3 linked regions of the Anolis sagrei genome follow. The protein of the gene in region 3 interacts with the protein of the main gene of each other region in a pairwise test. Links are inferred from orthologs where the notes say so. Each region holds a gene or a part of one and is shown on either strand. Other genes may lie near its edges.

Region 1 (7,871 bases), on a different chromosome or scaffold from region 3:
GTATGGGGATATAAGTTGATTTTTTCCAGTCTGATGGCCATTCTTGTGTTTTCCATATTTGCTGGCAAATGGCATGCATCACCTTGACAGCATCATCTTTTAAGATTTTAAACAGTTCAGCTGGGATCCCGTCATCTCCTGCTGCCTTGTTGTTAGCAATGCTTCTTAAGGCCCATTCAACCTCACTCCTCAGGATGTCTGGTTCTAATTCATTCACCACACCGTCAAAACTATCCTCAATATTATTATCCTTCCTATACGTAGGGCGCTTGCTTTCTAGCTATTGGCGTTTTACATTTTTTTCAATAGGAAGTAATAGAAAGATTTACAAGCCCTCTAGTGGGGATTCCAATTACTGCTTCAGCAACCAGGATGCAGTGACTTTCCCCTCAACACGAATATTATTTGGACTATTATTACTATTATCATTCTTTGTTCATGCAATTTTTCCCAAGAAGCTTAAACATAACATAAAGCAACACCCCGCCCCTCAACAATAAATGAAACTATAATTCAGGAAGACACCATACAAGCCCTCCCGACAGATGGCCGAACTCCCAGGCAGCATACTCTACTCTTAGCTTTCCAGATGGGTAAGAAAAACAACAACAACCATATATTGACTCAAGAATGGGAATCTATTTACATGTTTAGCAACCCATTTCCATTTGGTCTGAAGTCCAGTGAGAATACACATATGAACATAAGAATGGGAATCTCTATCGAAATATTCTCAAATTGCGGTCTTGTTTTGTTCCTTGTTCTGCATGGTCTGAGGTCCAGCAACAAAGGATATATTTGCATGCAAATGGGGATCTATTTACATGTTTATTCTTAAATTCTGATCTTGTTCCATAGGGCCGGAATTCCAATCAGAATACACATATTGACTTAAGAATGGGAAATCTATGTACATATTTATTCTCAAATTGCAGTGTGGCTCCATATGGTCATCTGAAGTCCATAATACATACATAAAAATGAGAATGGGAATCTATTTACATGTTTATTCTTAAATAGCGGTCTTGTTCTATTCGTATTTCCACATAGTCTGAAGTCCAGTGAGAATAAACATATTGATATAAGAATGGGAATATATATATATATATATATATATATATATATAGATTCTTAAATACTGGTCTGTTTCCATATGGTCTGAAGTCCAATGAGAATACATAAACATGATGGGAATCTATTTACATGTTTATTATTAAATAGCAGTCTGATTCCATTCCTAGTTCTACATAATCTGAAGTCCAGTGACATAAGAATGGAAATCTATCTACATATTTATTCTCAAATTGTAGTCTGGTTCCATTCCTAGCTCCACATGCTTTGAAGTCCAGTGACAATGCATGTATTTGCATAAGAATGGGAATATATCCATGTATATATTATTAAATATAGTTCCATATGGCCTGAAGTCCAGTGAGAATGCATAAACATGAGGATGGGAATCTATTTACATGTTTATTCTTAAATAGTCTTGTTCCATATGGTCAGAAGACCAGTCAGGATACACATAATTGCATAAGAATGGGGATATGTCTATATATTTCTCCTCAAATTGCGGTCTGGTTCCATATGGTCGAAAGTCAATTCAAAATACACATATTTGCATAAGAATGGAAATACATCTACATATTTATTCTTAAATATCAGTCTTGGTCAACATAGTCTAAAGTCCAGTGAGAATGCATGTATTGGCGTAAGAATGGGGACCTGTCTACATATTTTTCCTCAAATTGCAGTCTGGTTCCATATGGTCGAAAGTCCATTCAGAATACACATATTTGCATAAGAATGGGGATTATCTACATATTTCTCCTCAAATTGCGGTTTGGTTCCATATGGTCAGAAGTCCATTCAGAATACATATATTTGCATAAGAATGGGGACATATCTACATATTTATTCTTAAATAGCAGTTTTGTTCCACATAATCTGAAGTCCAGTGAGAATACATGTACTGACATAAGAATGAGGATTTATCAACATATTTCTTCTCAAGTGGCAGTCTGATTCCATACTTTGTTGTACTCAGTCTAGGGTCCAGCAACTGCCTCTGTCTGCATAAGAAGGGGCCCTATCTGCATGCCTGTCTGCAAGCAGGCCTTGTTCCTGGGCCACTTCTCCTCTTGACCCAACCAAACACCTCTTAATTTATTCTTAAGTAGCGGTTTGGTTCCATATGGCCTTAAGTCCAGTGAGAATACACAAACATGAGAATGGGAATCTATTTTCATGTTTATTCTTAAATAGCAGTCCTGTTCAATATGGTTGGAAGTCCATTCAGAATACACATATTTGCATAAGAATGGGGATTATCTACATATTTCTCCTCAATAGCAGTCTGGTTCCATATGATAGGAAGTCCAGTCAGAATACATATATTTACATAAGAATGGAAACATATCCACATTTGTTCTTAAAAAGCAGTTTTTTTTTCAACATAGTCTCAAATCTCTAAGAATGGGGATCTATCTACATATTTTTTCTCAAATGGCAGTCTGATTCCACGCCTTGTTGTATTTGGTCCAAGGTCCAGCAACAATGCCTCTGTCTGCATAAGAAGGGGCCCTATCTGCATGCATGTACATAAGCAGGCCTTGTTCCCGGGCCACTTGTTCTCCTGTTCCTGGCTCTCCTCCCCTTGACCCAGCAACACAACCAAATGCCTCTTAATTTATTCTTAAGTAGCGGTCTGGTTCCATATGGCCTGAAGTGAGAATACATAAACATGAGAATGGGAATTTATTTACACGCATATTCTTAAATAGCAGTATGGTTCCATATGGCCTGAAGTCTAGTGAGAATACATAAGCATGAGAATGGGAATCTATTTACATGCTTATTCATAAATAGTAGACTGGTTCCATTCCTAGTACCACATATTCTGGAGTCTATGAGTTGACATATTTCTTCTCAAGTGGCAGTCTAGTTCCACGCTTTGCAGTAACTGGTCCAAGCTCCAGCAACAATGCCTCTGTCTGCATAAGAAGGGGCCCTATCCGCATGCCTGTCCGCAAGCAGGCCTTGTTCCTGGGCCACTCCTCCTCTTGACCCAGCAACACAGCCAAATGCATCTTAATTTATTAAGTAGCGGTCTGGTTCCATATGACCTGAAGTTTGGTGAGAATACATAAACATGACAATGGGAATCTATTTGTACGCATATTCTTAAATAGCGGTCTGGTTCCATATGGCCTGAAGTCTGGTGAGAACACATAAACAGGTATTGACATAAGAATGTGGATCCATCTACACATTTATTCTCAAATGGCGGTCTGATTCCACGCCTTGTTGTACTTGGCCCAAGGTCCAACAACAATGCCTCTGTCTGCATAGGAAGGGGGCCTATCCGCACGCCTGTCTGCAAGCAGGCCTTGTTCCTAGACCACTCCTCCTCTTGACCCAGCAACACAGCCAAATGCCTCTTAATTTAATTTAGTATTGGTCTGGTTCCATATGGCCTAAAGTTCAGTGAGAATACATAAACATGAGAATGGGAATCTATTTACACGCTTATTCTTAAATAGCAGTCTGGTTCCATATGGCCTAAAGTCCAGTGAGAAAACATAAACATGAGAATGGGAATCTATTTACACGCTTATTCTCAAATAGCAGTCTGGTTCCATATGGCCTGAAGTCCGGTGAGAAAACATAAACATGAGAATGGGAATCTATTTAAATGCTTATTCTTAAATAGTAGTCTGATTCCACTCCTAGTTTCACATAGTCTGGAGTCTATGAATTGACATATTTCTTCTCAAGTGGCAGTCTGGTTCCACGCCTTGTTGTATGGCCTGAAGTCCAGTAAGAATACATAAACATGAGAATGGGAATCAATTTACACGCTTATTCTCATATAACAGTCTGGTTCCATATGGCCTAAAGTCCAGTGAGAATAAATAAACACGGGAATGAGAATCTATACGCTTATTCTTAAACAGCGGCCTGGTTCCATTCCTAGTTCCACATAGTCTGGAGTTATGAGCTGACATATTTCTTCTCAAATGGTGGCCTGGTTCCAGTAACGACGCCTCTGTCTGCATAAGTAGGGACCCTAGCTGCAAGCTGGCTTTGTTCTCCGCCTCCTCTCGACCCGGCGACACAGGCCAAGGCCTCCCCGAAGCCTCAGAAGATCCTGCAGGCGCGGATCATGAGGAGTTGGAGCAGGATGAAGACGGGCGCCATGATGAGGCCGTACCAGAGCTGCTCGCGGCCGGGCTTGGGCTCCTGGCCCAGCTTCTGGCAGAGCAGCATCTCGAAGACGAACTTGAGGCTGAGGAGGGTGAGCACCCAGAAGAGGCGCAGCACGGCCAGCCGCTTCTCGCCGTCCTGGAAGAGCCGCACCGAGACGATGGCCGTGAAGTAGGTGCAGAGCCCGTCGGCGGCGAAGAGCGGGCCCAGCGCGCCCCACCAGCTCAGCCCCGCCGCCGCCGCCCCGCCGTCCGCCTTCAGCGCCACCAGCGCCGACGCCGCCAGCAGCGCCAGCCCCTGCAGGAGCAGCTCGAAGGGCGCCAGGCCCAGCCACTGCACCGCCTCCCGCAGAGAGAACAGCATCCCGAAGCCTCAGGACGCCGGCCCCGCCGCCGCGCGCTTCCGCTTCTGCCGCGGCTTCCGGCGCGCGGGGGTGACGTCGGGACGTCCCGAGCGAGGGAGGCGCCGACACTTCTGGGCGCGAGGCAGTGACGTTTGCGGCACCGCGATGCCGGCTCAGGTGAGGCGCTGCTGCTGCTGCGCGCTTCTGAGGGGGAAAAGTAGGAGCCTTCAAGTGGAGTGAATCCGCTTTGAATCCGGTTTCTGCCTACTGCAGAATTCTGGGGTTGGTAGTTTAGGGTGTAGGAGCCTTTTCACATCCTCACTAAACTACAAAACCCCAGCATCCTGCAGAATTGAAAGTGGATGGAGGTAGTTCTGCCTTGGGCCCTTCCACACAGCCCTATATCCCAGGATAGCAAGGCAGAAAATCCCACCATATCTGCTTTGAACTGGGTTATCTGAGTCCACAGTCAGGTAATGTGGGATTTCCTGCCTTGATATTCTGGGATATAGGGCTGTGTGGAAGGGCCTCCGGTTGTCGTGGGGCCAGGGCTCACTCTCCACTCTCATCTTATCTATCTATGTGTATATAGTCTGTTGGCTCCCTCTTTCCCTCTCAGTTGTCGTGGGGCCAGGTCTCACCCTCCACTCTCCTCTATTTATGTGTATATAGTACGTTGGCTCCCTCCTTTCCTCTCAGTTGTCGTGGGGCCAGGGCTCACCTTCCTCTCTCATCTAATGTATCTATCTATCTATGTGTATATAGGCCATTGGCTCCCTCCTTCCCTCTCAGTTGTTGTGGGGCCAGGGCTCACCTTCCACTCTCATCTCATCTATCTATCTATGTGCATATAGTCCGTTGGCTCCCTCCATGAAAATGAACAAAATCTGGCTACCAGTATTAAAAAAACTCTAAAATTAAAACAGCACAACAGAGAGGAAACAAACAAGGACATCTAATCACCTCTCAACAAAAGTTTGCTCCAGGCACTGTCAGGCCATTATATGCTAATCAAGGTAGTCAGTTGAAACATTCACACCTAGCTCCAGGAGACAAGAGTCCTTTGTCCTACCCCGGTCATTTCACAGATATATAAACCTTTTTTCCTAGTCCCAACAGAAACCTCTGTTGGATGCTTGCCATAGATGCAGGCGAAACGTCAGGAGAGAATGCCTTTAGAACATGGCCATATAGCCCGAAAAAACCTACAACAACCCATTATGATGTTCTGGTTGCATCTTTGTTGTTGTTGTTGTTGTTTATTAGTTCAATCACTTTAACCTTTTTGTGACCTCATGGACCATCCCACGCCACAGCTCTCTGTAGGCCATCACCACCCCCAGCTTCTTCAGAGTAAAGCCAATCACTTCAAGTAAACGTCTTCTGATTTCCTGGCTGCAGTCTGCGTCTGCAATCATCTCTTTGTCTAGAAATACAAAATCTGTCACTGCTTCCACGTTTTTGATAGAACACAATAACTATGTTCTTAATTTGAGAAAGAGCTGCATGATAAACCAGTGGCCAAGAGAGAAGCCTTGGCTTTCTGCTTTCACTAAATGGGGTGTCTCTGCTTCTCTTCTTCCAGATGGAGGATCGGAAGATGTTGGTCCTCTTTGGCAGCCAGACAGGGACGGCTCAAGATGCGGCTGAAAGGGTCGGCCGGGAGGCCAAGCGGCATCACTTCCGGTGCAAAGTGGAGGCCCTGGACGACTACTGTGTGGTGAGCAGCCCGGCTGCCCTTCCAGCTTCCCCCCTTCAAGATGGGTGTCTTTAACAGGCCAAATAATCCCAGAGGAATACCCCAAATCGAATATCATGCACAGCTTTTTGGGATAAATACCTTCGCCAAAATGGGGGTGCATAGTAGATTTGATGGCAAATTAGACTAAAATCAATATTGTAATTGTTTGAGAAAAGTAAAAAGTATGGGACAGCAATTGCTTGATAAATTATTGATCTTTTCTCCAGGCTTCCCTCATCCATGAACCGTTGGTGGTGTTTGTCTGTGCAACAACGGGACAAGGAGACCCTCCTGATAACATGAAGGTCAGATTATTATTATTATTATTACTACACTATACAAACAATTTTAAAAAAATCTGTTCCTGGTTTGAAAGTGTTATTTCCTGTACTTAATTTGAAAGTAGTTGTTCTACTCCAGAAACTTTGTTTTGGAGGCTGCCACAAACTAGGTTGAATTGGTTGAGATTCTGTGAGATATGCTTTCAAAAACTATAGCAAAATGTGCTGCAGGATATCCCAAAGAAACAAAGTTTTTGCAGTTTAAACAACATTTTTCATGTTTTTATGATAGTATCAATTAGGAAATGTTATTTATAACTCAGGAACAAAAATGTGTTATGTAGTGCTATTATTAGTATCATAGAATCAAACCCCTCCTGACAGATGGCCATCCAGCCCCTGTTTAAAAGCCTCCAGGGACTGAGCCTTCACCGGATTCAGAGGCAATGAGTTCCACTGTTGAACAGCCTTACAACCAGGAAGTCCTTCCTTATATTCATTATTATTATTATTAGCTGTCCCCTGCCATGTGTTGCTGTGACCCAGTCTGTGTATATGTGTTTTGTGTATGTATACATGTGTGTATGTGTATATATGTGATTTTGTGCATGCGTTGTAATGTAATTTTGGGGGGGGGGGGTTGGCTTTTTAAGTCCCTTCTGCTGTGTTTTTCAGTGTTTTTTATGAGTGATGGTCACTTGTGTCCAAATTTGGTGTCAATTCACCCAGTATTTTTTGAGTTATGTTAATCCCACAAATGAACAATACATTTTTATTTATATAGATTGTTATTAATATGCCACTTTTTCTTTCTAATATCTCACTTTTTCTTAAAGCGGCTCACAATAAATCCAACACAGTACAATAAACCAATATAATACAGATATCCTCCCATTAAGAATATTTGGACCCTAACAGGAGAAAAACCAGCCAGTACTATATATGAGTTTATGGTAGGAAAGAGGAGAGAAAAGACACAGGTAAATATCATTTTTTAAAAAAAATATTTACTCTTGAAAGGAATACATCTCAGATAAAAAAAAGAGTAGATAGACAGAAGAAAAGTTACCTAACTTGGGTACAAGAGTTACTAATGCTGACACTTGTGTTTTGGTGTCATAATAATAATAATAAGCTCAATGGAAGCAATACCACCAAGGCCATAAACATCTGGGCCATACTTGTCATAAGATATACTGCTGGCATCATAAACTGAACACAGGCGGAACTGGACAGAAAAACAAGAAAACTCATGACCATTCATTATTCACTGCATCCTCGCAGTGATGTTAACTGGCTA
Region 2 (8,004 bases), on a different chromosome or scaffold from region 3:
CTCCCCCCCCCCCCCTTCTTACTTTCTTTTTACCTTTTCCCTTACTATAAGATTCTTGGAGGACATTTGTGGATCAAAAAGTTATCTAAATATAAACGAGTGAAAAATAAGGACACAGGGAGAGAAAGCACACTAAGCTAAGTCCCACTGCATTATTGCATTTGTCTAGAAAACTTGTATGCTCTGACAGGGACATTTTAACCACTGGGTTAAAATACTCTAACAGTGGTTCTCAACCTGTGGGTCCCCAGATGTTTTGGCCTTCAACTCTCAGAAATCCTAAAAGCTAGTAAACTGGCTGGGATTTCTGGGAGCTGTAGGCCAAAGCACCTGGGGACCCACAGGTTGAGAACAGGTGAAAAAATACAAAATTTTGTGTATTCTGAGCAGTATCGTGTTGCTCTATGGAAATTCCCATTGAACAACAAGTCGCATGGCATTTGGATGCCTATTGTATATACAATGGGAAGCATGACTTGACACCCATGCTTTTGGATCCATTTGCACAATGGTTCTGGAGGGGGAACTCTGCCCTTGCTGGATTCTTGTGAATATGAGCATTGCCCAACATTGAAGACCATTGCATGTGATCATAATTCATCTCTGTTGCTGTTGTGTGCCTGACTTATGGTGACTTCAAGGCAAACCTATCATGATATAAATTGTTCAGAGAGCCTTCCCAGTCAGTTGTAAGCATGAATTTTATACTTGTGTCTTGTGTTTAATCTCTGTTATGTGCATTTTAATAAGTATTTTACAGAAATATGTTTTAAATATGTATCTATGTAATTTGTCAGTTTTTCATAAACAAACAGATATTAGGAAACACAAGGGGGGGGGGTGCCCACACAAAAACTTAAGAATTAAAACTCACCCAATACTTTTTTGTTTGAATGCTGTAATTTTTGTAAGTCAGTTTTATTTTCACTTCAAATGAGGTGAAGCCAAAAAAGCTGTCATTCCTATTTGAATTAAGAAATGATAGGCTGCTTCTTGCTATGAGGACAGGAAAGCAGCAGGGCAACATGAGCTGAGTGAGCTGGGAAAGAGACTAAGAGAAAACAGAATTATGGGAAATGTAGTTTGGAAAGCCGAGGAGCCCTATGGCAGAGAATTCAAAAGGTCCTGCCCTAAACTACATTTCCCAGAATTCTAGGAATCCCCACCCCAAGTCCTAGTAGCACCTTAGCATAACAAATTGTCACTGCACATCGCACTTTTAACCCTACGTGCCTCCTGCCATTCAGCACTTTTAACCCTTGTACCCCAGTGCGCCGGCCGAACCAGTTTTTAATAATGTCCTGATGTACTGCTATTGTTGTTATTTTGCATATTGTTTGATTTGTTTAGTATTGCGGTGTTATGTTATTTTGCTTACTGTTTGATTTGCCTTGTTGTTGTGATGTTATATTCTCTATTGTATTGTGTTTGAGGCTTCGGCCTGTGTAAGCCGCATCGAGTCCTCCGGGAGATGCTAGCGGGGTACAAATAAAGTTAATAATAATAATAATAATAATAAGCATCAGAAAGCCCCAAGCGGGATAGGGGAGAGATTGGTTCCTCATAGAAGTAGCCAGAGTTCCAAGAAATTGTTGAATTTGCAAAGAGGAGGACTAACTGATACAAGCAAATAAATTTCTGCTGGGCTGTAAAGAAATCCCTAAATTGAAGTTTTGTTGGTTAAAGACATTCAATGAAATAGCTGTTGTGGGGTTTTTTTAAAAAAAGTTTTTGTCATTTTTTAAAAAAAATCCAAAAAATCAGTAGATGCATGAATATTTTGGAAAGTTGGGGGGAATGATCCCCTGTTATCCTGTGCCATTGTATAGAAAATTCAAGGAGCCACCTCTTGTATTTTTTTAATTTTGTTTGTAATTTTTTTTGAAAATTTGCAAAAAAATCCATAGATGGGTGAAACATTCTGAAACTCCATGGGCTAACAGTGGTAAATATGTTCTATAATCATAGCAAGTTTCATGCCAATGAGGCAGAAAGGGGCCTCTGAAGTTTCCCTACTTGCACAATTACTATAATGAAAAAGTGACAAAATTTTGTTACTCTCATTACAGTAATTAAATTTTTACTAACGATACTTTAGAAACCCTTTAGAAATGAAACATCAACACCCCCTAATTTTGTAATGAATTTTGAAACATTTTTTCATTGATCACACAGCATATATATATGGGTGTAGGTGTGTGTGTAAGCCAAAAGCCCCATAAAAACTCACTAAACACTCTTCCATTTATAAGACAGAGAAAATAAAGGCTTGTTGCATTATCTGAACATGTGTGTATAGAATTTCTACGATATTCATGTGTTTTAATTATGCTGTAACCTGTCTCAATGGAGCCCCCGGTGATGCAGGACAGGTCACAGGTTCGAATCCGGGGAGAGGCGGATGAGCTCCCTCTATCAGCTCCAGCTCCTTATGCGGGAACATGAGAGAACATGAGAGAAGCCTCCCACAAGGATGATAAAACATCAAATCATCCGGGCATCCCCTGGGCAACATCCTTGCAGACGGCCAATTCTCTCACACCAGAAACGACTTGCAGTTTCTCAAGTCGCTCCTGACACGACAAAAAAAAAAACCTGCATCAAGCCACGAGGAGAGACAGGTAAGAAATAAAATAATAATAATAATAATAATAATTATTATTATTATTATTATTATTATTATTATTATTATTCAGGCTGAGAGAAAATGCCCAAAGTTCCCCAGTGGGTTTCTATGCCTGAGATTCAAACACTAGCCTTCCAACCTTCAGATTATAACACAACATCATACAAGATGCTACATTGGGATATTGGGATTAATTGGGCCCATGGCGATTTTACCTTACCAGAGATTGGTGTATGAAGCACCCCCCAGTCGGACTCTCTCAGCATCAATTCTAGTTCAAATGAGAAGCCACCCAACTGTCATCACTAAGAGAATCTACATATCATGATAGAAAAAAGTATTTATCAAAAGGCAAACTTACACTTGAACCCAAGGATGTACCAAACTGTAATGTCTCTTTCTTCAGTATGGCTTCATCAACTGAGGATGCTCAGAGAAGCCGTTAGACCTGGAAGCTTCTGTTTGGTATCCTAGCAACGGACCACTGCTTTATCTCTGATGATGCTACAACTCCCTCTTCTCCGTAGACAAGATGTTCCTCCTACCTTTACTTGGTTTGACTTTTAATGCTAATTGGCAAGATCAGTCTTCACAAGCGCTGGATCAAAATGTTTCTTACTGGGTAATGATAGTTTCCCAATTTACTAATCTTGGAAAGATACAAAGCAGATTAAAAAGGATGGAGATTTCGAAGTGATCAAATCAGAACGTGAGAAAGGATTGTGTGGCAATGATTATATGAGGAAGAGAGAAGAGTGTGGGTTACAATTTGAAAGAAAACCTGAAATGGGTGTATTATTTATATCTTTTTCGAGTTAAATGGTTAAATAACTATTGTTGGAAATATCTTGAAGAGTATATCATCAATGTTTCTTCCCGAGTCTTTGTCCAGTGAGCTGCTTGAGTCCCCCAAAGGGGGCATTTCAGGCAGCAAATGGATGGGCTCCCGCTGCGTGCTAGGGAAGACCTTTGTCCAACAGATTTTTGCCCTGGCCATGCCTTCTGCCAGAGTAGAGGAGAAATCCTGGAATAATTTGAGATTGCTCAAGAGGTTAAAAGAGTTCATTTTGGTTTGCCTTCTATTTAATGTATTCCATGATATCAAAATAAAGCAATAAAATAAAGACACAGGGATAGGAACTAAGGGAGGTTCCATCATAAGTTCATAGTTAGAAATAAGGGAGAAGTCAGGGTCTCTCTTGGCCCCATAGAGCAGGGGCCCTCAAACTATGGCCTGAGGGCCGCATATGGCCCTCCAAGGTCATCTAACAGGCCCTCACTCAGAGTCAACCTAAATCTGAAATGACTTGAAAGCACACAACAATAACAACAATCCTATCTCATCAGCCAAAAGCAGGTCCATACCAATAAGTTTATATTTATTTAAATTGTTTTTCATTTTAATTATTGTGTTGTTTTTATTTTATTTATTTTTTTGCACTACAGGTAAGATATGTGCAGTGTGCATAGGAATTCATTCATTTTTTTCCACAATTATAATCCGGCCCTCCAACAGTTTGAGAGACTTTGACCTGGCCCTCTGTTTAAAAAGTTTGAGGACCCCTGCCATAGAGTATAGGAGAGGTTACTCCCTTTTATTTGTTCTTTTTATTATCTCTGCACTGATGCAGAGTTTCAAAGGAAAGAATTTTCAAAGGAAAAGAAAGATACAGTGTTCCTTCACTTATTGTGGCTGTTACTTTCCAGGGTCACCCACAAAAAGTGAAAATCCACTAAGTAGGGACACTATTTATTTACTTTACTTGTATACCACAGTTTCTCAGCCTAACAGGCGACTCAACGCGGTTTACAACAAAGGTACAACAGTCAACAATATACAATTTAAAACCATAAAAGCATAATACACAATATTGACACAACAATAACAACCCAATGCATCTCATGACTAAAATCGTGATCCAGTTTCGTCGTCCATATTACCATTCCTGTAATCATCACATTCATTGCACCGATTAACCAAATGCCTGTTCGAACATCCAGGTTTTTAAGTAGCATCTCAAGCTGCCATTGCAAAAGTCCTACTCTCATTTTTGGTGTGTATTCATCCTCTGAGTATATCCTGACACCCTTTTCTTTTTAGGAAGCTTTATGCCTCTCCTGCCTTTCTTTCCATGCACTGGGTTGGTCTCGTGATGTCACGCAGGTCCAGGGGCGGCTCAACCCATTACGCAAAGTAAGCATTTGCAGTATAGTTGATTTTGCCCAGGGCACTCTTGAGGTGCTCTTGGGGGAAAATAGACCTTGACATATGCAAGTTGTAGTTACTGGAATGTATAGTTCACCTGCAATCAAAGAGCATTCTGAACTCCACCAATGATGGAATTGAACCAAATATGGCACACAGAACTCCCATGACAAACAGAAAACATATATCAGTGATTGGTTGGTGGTTGGGGGGGGGGGATACTGTTTGCTTACCGTTGAAAATACCTAGAGCCGCCTCTGCGTGGGTCCCCCCTCCTCCCTCAAGACCCACCTGCCATTCACCCCTCTAGACCTGTCCATCATCCTTCCCTTCCTTCTCCCGCTTTCAATCCGGACAGGCTCCCATCTGCAGAGGAAAGTGAGGAAGAGGGGGAGAAAGAAGAAGGCGAGAAGGAGGAGTTGGGCAAGTGGGGTGAATGCAGGAGGCGGCTTCCCAGGCTGGCATATCCCACGATGCACGTGGCAAGGAGAGACGTAGCTCCAGTGTAAATATATACATTACTGTATTTATTGAAAAACCGCGAAACAGCGAGTCCGTGAAAAGTGAAGTAGTGAGGGAACACTGTACCTAGTATAGTGTTGGAGGGGAAAATGTTGACAAAGTCCCAAAAATGGAGATACATTGTAGCATCAAAGGAATTGTGTTCTCTACTACTTCATCACACTAGAGCAGGGGCCATCAAACTTTTTAAACAGAGGGCCAGGTCACGGTCCCTCAAACTGTTGGAGGGCCAGATTATAATGTGAAAAAAATCATAAATGAATTCCTATGCACACTGCACATATCTTATTTGTAGTGCAAAAAAACACTTTAAAACAATACAATAAATAAAGAACAATTTTAACAGATATAAGCTTATTAGTATTTCAATGGGAAGTGTGGGCCTGCTTTTGGATGAAGAGATAGGATTGTTGTCACCCTACAACCTCTGAGGATGCTTGCCATAGATCAGTGGTTCTCAACCTTCCTAATGCAGCAACCCCTTAATACAGTTACTCATGTTGTGATGACCCTCAACCATAAAATTATTTTTGTTGCTACTTCAGAACTGTAATTCTGTTCCTGTTATGAATTGTAATGTAAATATCTTAAATACAGAATGTATTTCATTTACTGGACCAATTTGGCACAAATATCTGATACGCCGACATTTGAATGCTGGAGGGGTTGGGGGAGGGTTGATTTTGTCATTTAGGAGATGGGATTTATAGATGGAGATTAGAGGGAGAGAGGAAGAGAGTTGCAATTTATTAAGAAGTTTAATTTTATCATAAGCATTCAGAAACAGGAGAATTGAAGCTGGGGCTAACAGCGGGAGCTCACCTCGCTCTCCAGATTTGAACCTGTGACCCGTTAGTAAGTTTAGCAGCTCAGTGGTTTAACCCACTGAGCCACCAGGGGCTCCCAGGTATAAGTTGGAAATCATTTCAATGTGTTTAACATTTTTATTCTTAGTGTAAGTTTTCCTGTTGTGTGCAGTTTTGTGCTTGTTTTGATCTGTTTATTTAGTTGATTACTGTAATTTCTTTGAATTTAAAGGGTCGTTTAGAAAGCTCTTGACTACTGCATTTCAGAGTATTCAGCACCCATTCTATAATTATGGAAATCATCTATGTTTTTGATTTTGATTTTCTTAATATTTTGCTGTATTGAAAATCATATTCCACTGTTCAGTCCCCTACGAGCTCCTCCCCCACAAATATACCTTTTCAATTGCTATTTCATCCAGAGTTTTATCATTTTATGTCATGCAATTGGCCCACCCACTGTATTTGATTTTCCATTATGTTATTTTGTATTGTTTATTTGATTGGTTTATTTATTTTATTGTGATATTATTTTGTTGTTTATATTTTATGTTGCTGTAATGTATCGCTGGACTTGGCCTCGTGAGCCAAGCTGGATGGCCATCTGTCAGGGGTGATTTGAATGTAATATTCCTGCTTCTTGGCAGGGGGTTGGACTGGATGGCCCATGAGGTCTCTTCCAACTCTATGATTCTATGATTCTATTCTCTTTGGGGATTGCCAATATCCGCTGGATAATGGAGACAGGCAGGGAGTTTCAGAAAGATATCTATTTCTGCTTCATTGACTATTCTAAAGCCTTTGACTGTGTGGATCATAATAAATTGTGACAACTTCTTGGTGGGATGGGCATCCCAAGCCACCTTGTCTCTCTCCTGAGGAATCTGTACAAGGACCAAGTAGCAACAGTCAGAACTGACCACGGAACAACAGACTGGTTCAAGATTGGGAAAGGCGTACGGCAAGGCTGCATATTCTCACCCAACCTTTTTAACTTGTATGCAGAACACATCATGCGATGTGCGGGGCTTGATGAATACAAATCTGGGGTGAAAATTGCTGGAAGAAACATTAACAACCTCAGATATGCAGACGACACCACTCTGATGGCCGAAAGCGAGGAGGAGCTGAGGAGCCTTCTAATCAAGGTGAAAGTAGAAAGCGCAAAAGCTGAGTTGCAGCTAAACATCAAAAAAACCAATATTATGGCAACAAGAATGATTGACAACTGGGAAATAGAGGGAGAAAACGTAGAGGCCGTGACAGACTTTGTATTTCTAGGTGCAAAGATTACTGCAGATGCAGACTGTGGCCAGGAAATCAGAAGACGCTTACTTCTTGGGAGGAGAGCAATGTCCAGTCTCGATAAAATAGTAAAGAGTAGAGACATCACACTGGCAACAAAGATCCGCCTAGTCAAAGCCATGGTATTCCCTACGGATGTGAGAGCTGGACCTTAGGGAAGGCTGAGCAAAGGAAGATAGATGCTTTTGAGCTGTGGTGTTGGAGGAAAGTTCTGAGAGTGCCTTGGACTGCGAGAAGATCCAACCAGTCCATCCTCCAGGAAATAAAGCCCAACTGCTCATTGGAGGGAAGGATACTAGAGACAAAGTTGAAGTACTTTGGCCACATCATGAGGAGACAGCAAAGCCTAGAGAAGACAATTATGCTGGGGAATGTAGAAGGTAAAAGTAAGAGGGGCCGACGAAGGGCAAGATGGATGGATGCCATCCTTGAAGTGACTGGACTGACCTTGAAGGAGCTGGGGGTGGTGACGGCCGACAGGGAGCTCTGGCGTGGACTGGTCCATGAGGTCACGAAGAGTCGGAGACGACTGAACGAAT
Region 3 (7,413 bases):
CCCACAAGCATCAAGACATTACATATATTAGAAACCAACACTTCCTCATTACTTTATTTTCCAGATCACTAGACTGGGCCACAGCAACGTGTGGTAGGGGACGGCTAGTAATAATAATAAGGTCTATGATACTTTATTATTGTTATATATTATAATACTAGCTTTAAAAATTGGTTGTTTTGGAGTGTTATGTCATATCATTTAGTTAATTAGTAACACTATTTATTAGGAAAAAAACAGTCTTTGATTTATTTTTTCATCAATGCTCCCATTAGGAAATATATAATGATGTGGGTGAACTGCAATTCCCAGAATCGTGGGTCAATCTTCCCCAAAACCAGGCAATGTTGGGACTCTGTGCCAAATGTGGTCCAGAACTGCTAGGTCGGCAGAAGCTGGGGCTAACAGCGAGAGCTCACCCCACTGCCCGGATTCCAATGGCTAATCTTTCAGTCAGCAAGTTCAGCAGCTCAACTGTTTAACCTGCTGTGCTGACTGAAAGGTTGGCCGTTGGAATCCGGGCAGTGGGGCTCCTTTTATTATATATTATTATTGTATATTATTATTATATATTATATATTATTATCTATCTATCTATATTAATGCTCTGTTTGTTTTGAGTGACATCATAACTCAAAATCCGCTGGACGAATTTCCGTCAAATTTGGCCACAAGACATCTACTAACCCAAGGAGTGACCATCACTAAAAAAAATTGCTTTTGCTATTTGGGAGTTGTAGTTGGTGGGATTTAGACCAAACTTGGCACGAATACTCCATATGCCAAATATGAACACAGATGGAGTTTGGGGGAAATAGATCTTAACATTTGGGAGTTGTTGTTACTGGGATTTATAGTTCACCTACAATCAAAGCACATTCTGAACCCCTCCAACAATAGAATTGGACCAAACCTCCCACACAGAACCCCCATGATCAATAGAAAATACTGTGTTTTCTGGTGGTTTTTGGTGATCCTTCTGACACCCCCTCGCGACACCCCCCAGGGGTCCCGACCACCAACTCTCTTCACCAGAGCAAGAAAACGTAATCAAAGCCCTCCTGACAAAGAGCCATCCAATCACAGATATTAACAGATAGATACAATTCACACACACTTATATTTACTAGCTGTCCCCTACCACGTGTTGCTGTGGCCCAGTCTGTTGATCTGGAAAATAAAGTAATGGGAAAGTGTTGGTTTCTAATATATGTAATTTCTTTATGCTTGTGGGTAAACAGTATTTCTTGCTATTTCTTTGTCAGTGTTGATGTGGAGAGTGTCTGGTTTGCCTACTCTGGAATATGCAACATATCATAGTCCTTCTTTAAGGGTCCCTTTCAAATCTATGATACTATATCTGTGTGTGTGTGAATCATATCTATCTATCTATCTATCTATCTATCTATCTATATTTATGGCTGGATGGCTCTTTGTCAGGAGGACTTTGATTACACTTTCTTGCCCTGATGAAGCGAGTTGGATTGGATGGTCTTAAGTATTTTCTGTTGGTTATGGGGGTTCTGTGTGGAAAGTTTGCCCCAATTCTGCTGTTCGTGGGGTTCAGAATGCTCATTGATTGTAGGTGAACTGTGAATGCCAGTGACTACAACCCCCAAATGTCAAGGTCTATTCCCCCCAAACGCCATCTGTGTTCATATTTGGGCGTACTGAGTGTTTGTGCCAAGTTTGGTCCAGATCCCTCATTGTTTGAGTCCACAGTGCTCTCTGGATGTACGTGAACTACAACTCCCAAACTCAAGGTGTGATGTGGAGAGTGTCTGATTTGCTCTCCCTGGAACATGCAACATATCATTGTCCTTCTTTACGGGTCTCTTTAAAATCTGTGATACTATATCTATGTGTGTGAGAGAGAATCATATCTATCTATCTATCTATCTATCTATATTTATGACTGGATGGCTCTTTGTCAGGAGGGCTCTGATTACATTTTCATGGTCTGGTGAAGAGAGTTGGACTGGATGGCCTTAAGTATTTTCTGTTGGTCATGGCGGTTCTGTGTGGGAAGTTTGCCCCATTTCTGTCATTTGTGGGTTTCAGAATGCTCTTTAATTGTAGTGAACTATAAATCCCAGTAACTACAAATCCCAAATGTCAAGGTCTATTTCCTCCAAACTCCATCTGTGTTCATATTTAGGCATATGGAATTTTTGTGTCAAGTTTGGTCCAGATCCATCATTGTTTGAGTCCACAGTGCTCTCTGGATGTAGGTGAACTACAACTCCCAAACTCAAGGTCAATGCCCACCAAACCCTTCCAGTGTGTTCTGTTGGTCATGGAAGTCCTGTATGCCATGTTTGGTTGAATTCCATCATTGGTGGAGTTCAGAATGCTCTTTGATTGTAGGTGAACTATAAATCCCAGCAACTACAACTCCCAAATGTCAAGGTCTATTTCCCTTAAACTCCATCTGTGTTCATATTTGGGCATATGGAATATTCGTGCCAAGTTTGGTCCAGATCCATCATTGTTTGAGTCCACAGTGCTCTCTGGATGTGGGTGAACTATAATTCCCAAACTCAAGGTCAATGTCCACCAAACCCTTCCAGTTTTCTCTGTTGGTCATGGGAGCCCTGTGTGCCAAGTTTGGCCCAATTCCATCATTGGTGGAGTTCAGAATGCTCTTTGATTGTAGGTGAACTATAAATCCCAGCAACGACAATTCCCAAATGACAAAATCATTTTTTTTTAGTGGAGGACATAAATTGGACTGTTAGGTGTCTTGTGTCCAAATTTGGTGTCAATTCCCCCAGTGGTTTTGGAGTTCTGATGGTAGCACGAACTAACATTACATTTATTTATTTATATAGATAATATATTCTATTATTATGTTATACTGTATTATTCTATTACATTAATTACTTTAAATTTTATTATCACATTATATTATATTATAGTTATTTTATATTATTATTGTATTACTTTAAAAATTATATTATCATATTTTATTATATTATTATTATTATTATACAGGAGACCCTTTAGAGATTATTATGTTATACACATACATATATTAATTATCAGTTACTAATTAACAATTTTAATTAAATATATATATTTTTATAATTAAGTACCTTTTTCGGAACTTGCTGCTTTACCGTCTTTCCTCCTCCTTCATCGCCATTTTTAACGGTTTCCCCACTTCTGGCGTCGCCATAGCAACACTTCCGGTTGGGAGCTACGGAAGCCGACGAGGGAGAGAAACCTTTCCTTGTTCTCCCTTCGCGCGAAGGGGGCGTGGCCACTCGCTTTAAGAACCGCTTTCCTTCCTTCCATCCACTAGCACGAAGCGAACTGAGAACGACAAAGGGCTTCAGTATAATTGGAAGCGATCTCCCATCCTACACTTCCGGGTTCCCATTGGAAAGCACTTAATAGGAGTGTTGTTGTTTTTCCCCTTATGCGTGAAATTTGTTTATTTATTTGCTTACGATATTTCTAATCCCGCCTTTCTCAAGCCTGAAGGCAACTCAAGGCGGCTTACAAATTGGCAGCAAGACGATGCCATAACAATTCACAAAATACAAAAAAAAAATTATAAAATCCATACAAAAACAATTAAAAACATAATAAGCAATATCTTCCACTTAAGCTCACTTTCGTCTAAGCCGTTCCATGTTTCAGTCTTACATAATTCCGTGTTTATCTATTGCACTGCATTCCCAAAGGTTTGTTCACAAAGCCATGTTTTCATTTTTTTTGAAGGTCAGGAGGGAGGGGGCCAATCTAATATCCCTAGGGAGGGAGTTCCACAGCCGAGGGGCCACCACTGAGAAGGCCCTGTCTCTCGTCCCCGCCAGCCGCAGCTGCAAAGAAGGCGGGATCGAGAGCAGGGCCTCCCCAAACGATCTTAAATTCCTAGATGGTTCATAAGGAGAGATACGTTTGGACAGGGAAGCTGGACCGGAACCGTTTAGGGCAGTGTTTCTCAACCTGGGGGTCAGGACCCCTAAGGGGGTCGCGAGGGGGTGTCAGAGGGGTCGCCAAAGACTATAAGAAAACACAGCATTTTGTGATGGTCATGGGGATTCCATGTGGGAAGTTTGAGCCAATTCTATCGTTGGTTGAGTTCAGAATATTCTTTGATTGTAATGAACTATAAATCCCAGCAACTACAACTCCCAAATGTCAAGATCTATTTTCCCCAGACTCCACCAGTGTTCACATTTGGGCATATTGAGTATTCATGCCAAGTTTGGTCCAGATCCACCATGGCATGAGTCCGCAGTGCTCTCTGGATATAGGTGAACTACAACTCCCAAACTCAAGGTCAATGCCCATCAAACCCCTCCAGTGTTTTCCATTGGTCATGGGAGCCAAGTTTGGTTCAAATCATTGGTGGAGTTTAGAATACTCTTTGATTATAAGTGAACTATAAATCCCAGCAACTACAACTCCCAAATTACAAAATCAATCCTCCCCCAACCCCACTAGCATTCACATTTGTGTGCATTGGGTATTTGTGCCCAGTGAATGAAAATGCACCCTGCATATCAGATTTTTAAATTATGATACATAACGGTAGTAAAATGACTGTTATGAAGTAGCAACGAAAACAATATTATGGTTGGGGGTCACAACAACATGAGGGACTGTATTAAGGGATCACAGCATTAGGGAGGTTGAGAACCACTGGTTTAGGGCTTTCTAGGCTAAAGTCAGCACTTTGAAATGAATAAAACCCAATGCATTTGTATTTAAGTGACTTATAAATAAACCTATTATATTTTAATAGATATCAAGTTTCGCCTAGATCCAATGTCGGCTGGGTTCAGTGGGTGTGGATGAACTACAACTCCCATATGCAAGTCACATCGTCCATGGTACGTCCTCCTCCAAATCGCACCAGGATGTAAAGTCAGTCATGGTGGCTATGTGTGCCAAGATCTGTCATTGGTTTGGGTCACAGTGGTCTCTAGAAGTGAATGAAGATACTGCATGTCCCATTATCCATGGTCCAAAGTCTTCCAAATCACACTAGCATGTAGAGTGCGTCATGGGGGCTCTGTGTGTCAAGTTTGGTCCTGATCTGTCATTGTTGATGGTCACAGTGGTCTCTAGAAGTGAATGAAGATACTGCATGTCCCATTATCCATGGTCCAAAGTCTTCCAAATCACACTAGCATGTAGAGGGCATCATGGGGGCTCTGTGTGTCAAGTTTGGTCCTGATCTGTCATTGTTGATGGTCACAGTGGTCTCTAGAAGTGAATGAAGATACTGCATGTCCCATTATCCATGGTCCAAAGTCTTCCAAATCACACTAGCATGTAGAGTGCGTCATGGGGGCTCTGTGTGTCAAGTTTGGTCCTGATCTGTCATTGTTGATGGTCACAGTGATCTCTAGAAGTGAATGAAGATACTGCATGTCCCATTATCCATGATCCAAAGTCTTCCAAATCACACTAGCATGTAGAGTGCATCATGGGGGCTCTGTGTGTCAAGTTTGGTCCTGATCTGTCATTGTTGATGGTCACAGTGGTCTCTAGAAGTGAATGAAGATACTGCATGTCCCATTATCCATGGTCCAAAGTCTTCCAAATCACACTAGCATGTAGAGTGCGTCATGGGGGCTCTGTGTGTCAAGTTTGGTCCTGATCTGTCATTGTTGATGGTCACAGTGATCTCAAGAAGTGAGTGAAAGTACTGCAAGTTCCATCATCAATTTATCCTCCTCCTCCAAATAGCACCAGTGATACCGAGCGCAGCTCAGACCTCTGCTTTTAAATTAAATTGACCTGCAGCAGGGATTTCCGCAGTTCCTGGAAGCAAGGATTGGGCCAAACTGATTAAATGAGCCCCAACAGCGAGCTCAACCAGGACTCAAAACAGCCCTATGCTTTCTCTTCCCACTTTCCTACCCAGCCCCTACTTTGTAACAAAACCCCAAATAAAGATTTATGAAATTGCAACTTTTAACCCTCTAGCTTGATACTTTGGTTCTTTCCTTGCCTGAACTATCTAAATGCTTGAAAATAATCTTTCCCAGGCCGCAGGAGACTGCAGGCTTGCCCGGAATGCCTTCCTGGCATTCCGGGGAGGCCGAATCTGCACTTTTCTAACCGCGGATACTGAGTCTTCCCCTCTGAGTCATCCGCGAGATGGCCAAACGCCCCCATTTCGGTGGCATATTTTTCCTAGCTTAATTCTAACCCTATCTGCTATCTCGCTTTTTGCCTTTTGGACTTCTACACTCGGGAAATAACCAATTTAAGAATATATTTTGCGAGGAACAGCTGATTGTCAAAAAGCTGGCTCCGTTACTTCTGCGCTGCTGCGCCCCGCCATCTCATCGCCTCCGCCAGACCCATGCCCCCGAATACTTGGTGTGGTTACCCCATAAGGCTCACGGGGAAGAGCCTGGCCTGGAGGCCCAAGTCCTTGGAAGGAGTTATAGTTCCCCAAGGACAAAAGACCAACTTGATCTTGACATTGCTGGAATCCATCCTTTGGCTCAGTGGAAATGATCAGACACCTTTTTGAGACTTTTTGGCTTTCTTTAATCCCCTTTTCTTGCTCCTATGAACTCATTCCCTACATATGAATTGCCCCACATGAACCATGGACTCACGTCTTAATAAAATTATATTAACCAATTTCTCTGGCAGGTGGGGGGAGAGAAGGGAGGTTGACATGAATTTATCTGGATTCCTGTTTCTTTTCCCAAGTATTTTTCCTTGGCACCCCACCCCTCGCCCCTTCATAGTAGGAGAGTCACCTCAAGGAAGCGGCCAGCTGTTGGAAAGGCAATCAGAGGCAACAAAGAAACACATATCCCAGAACTTTGGCGTGGACAATAAGACCTGGAATCTCCATGTGGTTCCAGGATTATGGCCATCAGTCTGGAATGTCCTTGGCAAACCTTTGGCCATCTTCACAATAGGAGCGAGACGATCCTTGGGGGGTCGCCTTCCCAATTTTGCTTACTCCATTCATAAACCAGACATTTCCCCAAGCCACCCTTTGTGCCTTATCTGATTGTGGCTGGAGACCAGGATAAAGGTAATCAAAGATCATCGCAAATCCACTCAAGGACAATAGGGTGGGCATCGCACCCATTGATTCATTCGCCGGCTCATTGTTTCTGTTTCGTCCCGCCTCCCTTCTCCTGATTCGCCAAGGCGCTGAAGCGTGGAAAGTTTTCCCAATGGCCCCTGTGAAGCGGGGGAGCTCCGTGATTGGCATTGAAGCAGGGCGGCCGGCCGTGCCTCCTCCCAGCTGGAATCTCATCAGCCAATCACTGGCGAGCCGGGCGGAGGGCTGGGGGCGGGAATTTTGAACTTTCAAACCTGGAAATTCCTATAAAAATGCCTCTGATCTCTGTACTGGTATGCTCTGTAGACGAATTATCGCTACTTAGCATCCTTTTCAGCTGAATCGCAAATAAAACCACC

What was found.
Region 1: the proteins of TCHP (region 3) and NDOR1 interact in binary tests that used the Homo sapiens proteins (3 or more experiments, as listed by UniProt). The two-hybrid records come from large-scale screens. The link is inferred for Anolis sagrei from reciprocal best matches to the Homo sapiens genes TCHP and NDOR1.
Region 2: the proteins of TCHP (region 3) and DYDC1 interact in binary tests that used the Homo sapiens proteins (3 or more experiments, as listed by UniProt). The two-hybrid records come from large-scale screens. The link is inferred for Anolis sagrei from reciprocal best matches to the Homo sapiens genes TCHP and DYDC1.

Annotation. Positions count from the first base shown.
Region 1 is NC_090031.1:15,456,240-15,464,110, forward strand, and holds the start of NDOR1 (NADPH-dependent diflavin oxidoreductase 1), read left to right. Parts: upstream 1-4,629; 5' UTR 4,630-4,714; coding exon 4,715-4,726; intron 4,727-6,134; coding exon 6,135-6,269; intron 6,270-6,517; coding exon 6,518-6,595; intron 6,596-7,871. Other genes in the region: TMEM203 (transmembrane protein 203), read right to left, coding at 4,141-4,569. UniProt on the Homo sapiens protein: NADPH-dependent reductase which is a central component of the cytosolic iron-sulfur (Fe-S) protein assembly (CIA) machinery.
Region 2 is NC_090023.1:155,234,560-155,242,563, forward strand, and holds the start of DYDC1 (DPY30 domain-containing protein 1), read right to left. Parts: upstream 3,243-8,004; 5' UTR 2,988-3,242; intron 1-2,987. UniProt on the Homo sapiens protein: Functions as part of axonemal radial spoke complexes that play an important part in the motility of sperm and cilia. Plays a crucial role during acrosome biogenesis.
Region 3 is NC_090034.1:61,406,052-61,413,464, forward strand, and holds the start of TCHP (trichoplein keratin filament-binding protein), read right to left. Parts: upstream 3,204-7,413; 5' UTR 3,096-3,203; intron 1-3,095. UniProt on the Homo sapiens protein: Tumor suppressor which has the ability to inhibit cell growth and be pro-apoptotic during cell stress. Inhibits cell growth in bladder and prostate cancer cells by a down-regulation of HSPB1 by inhibiting its phosphorylation.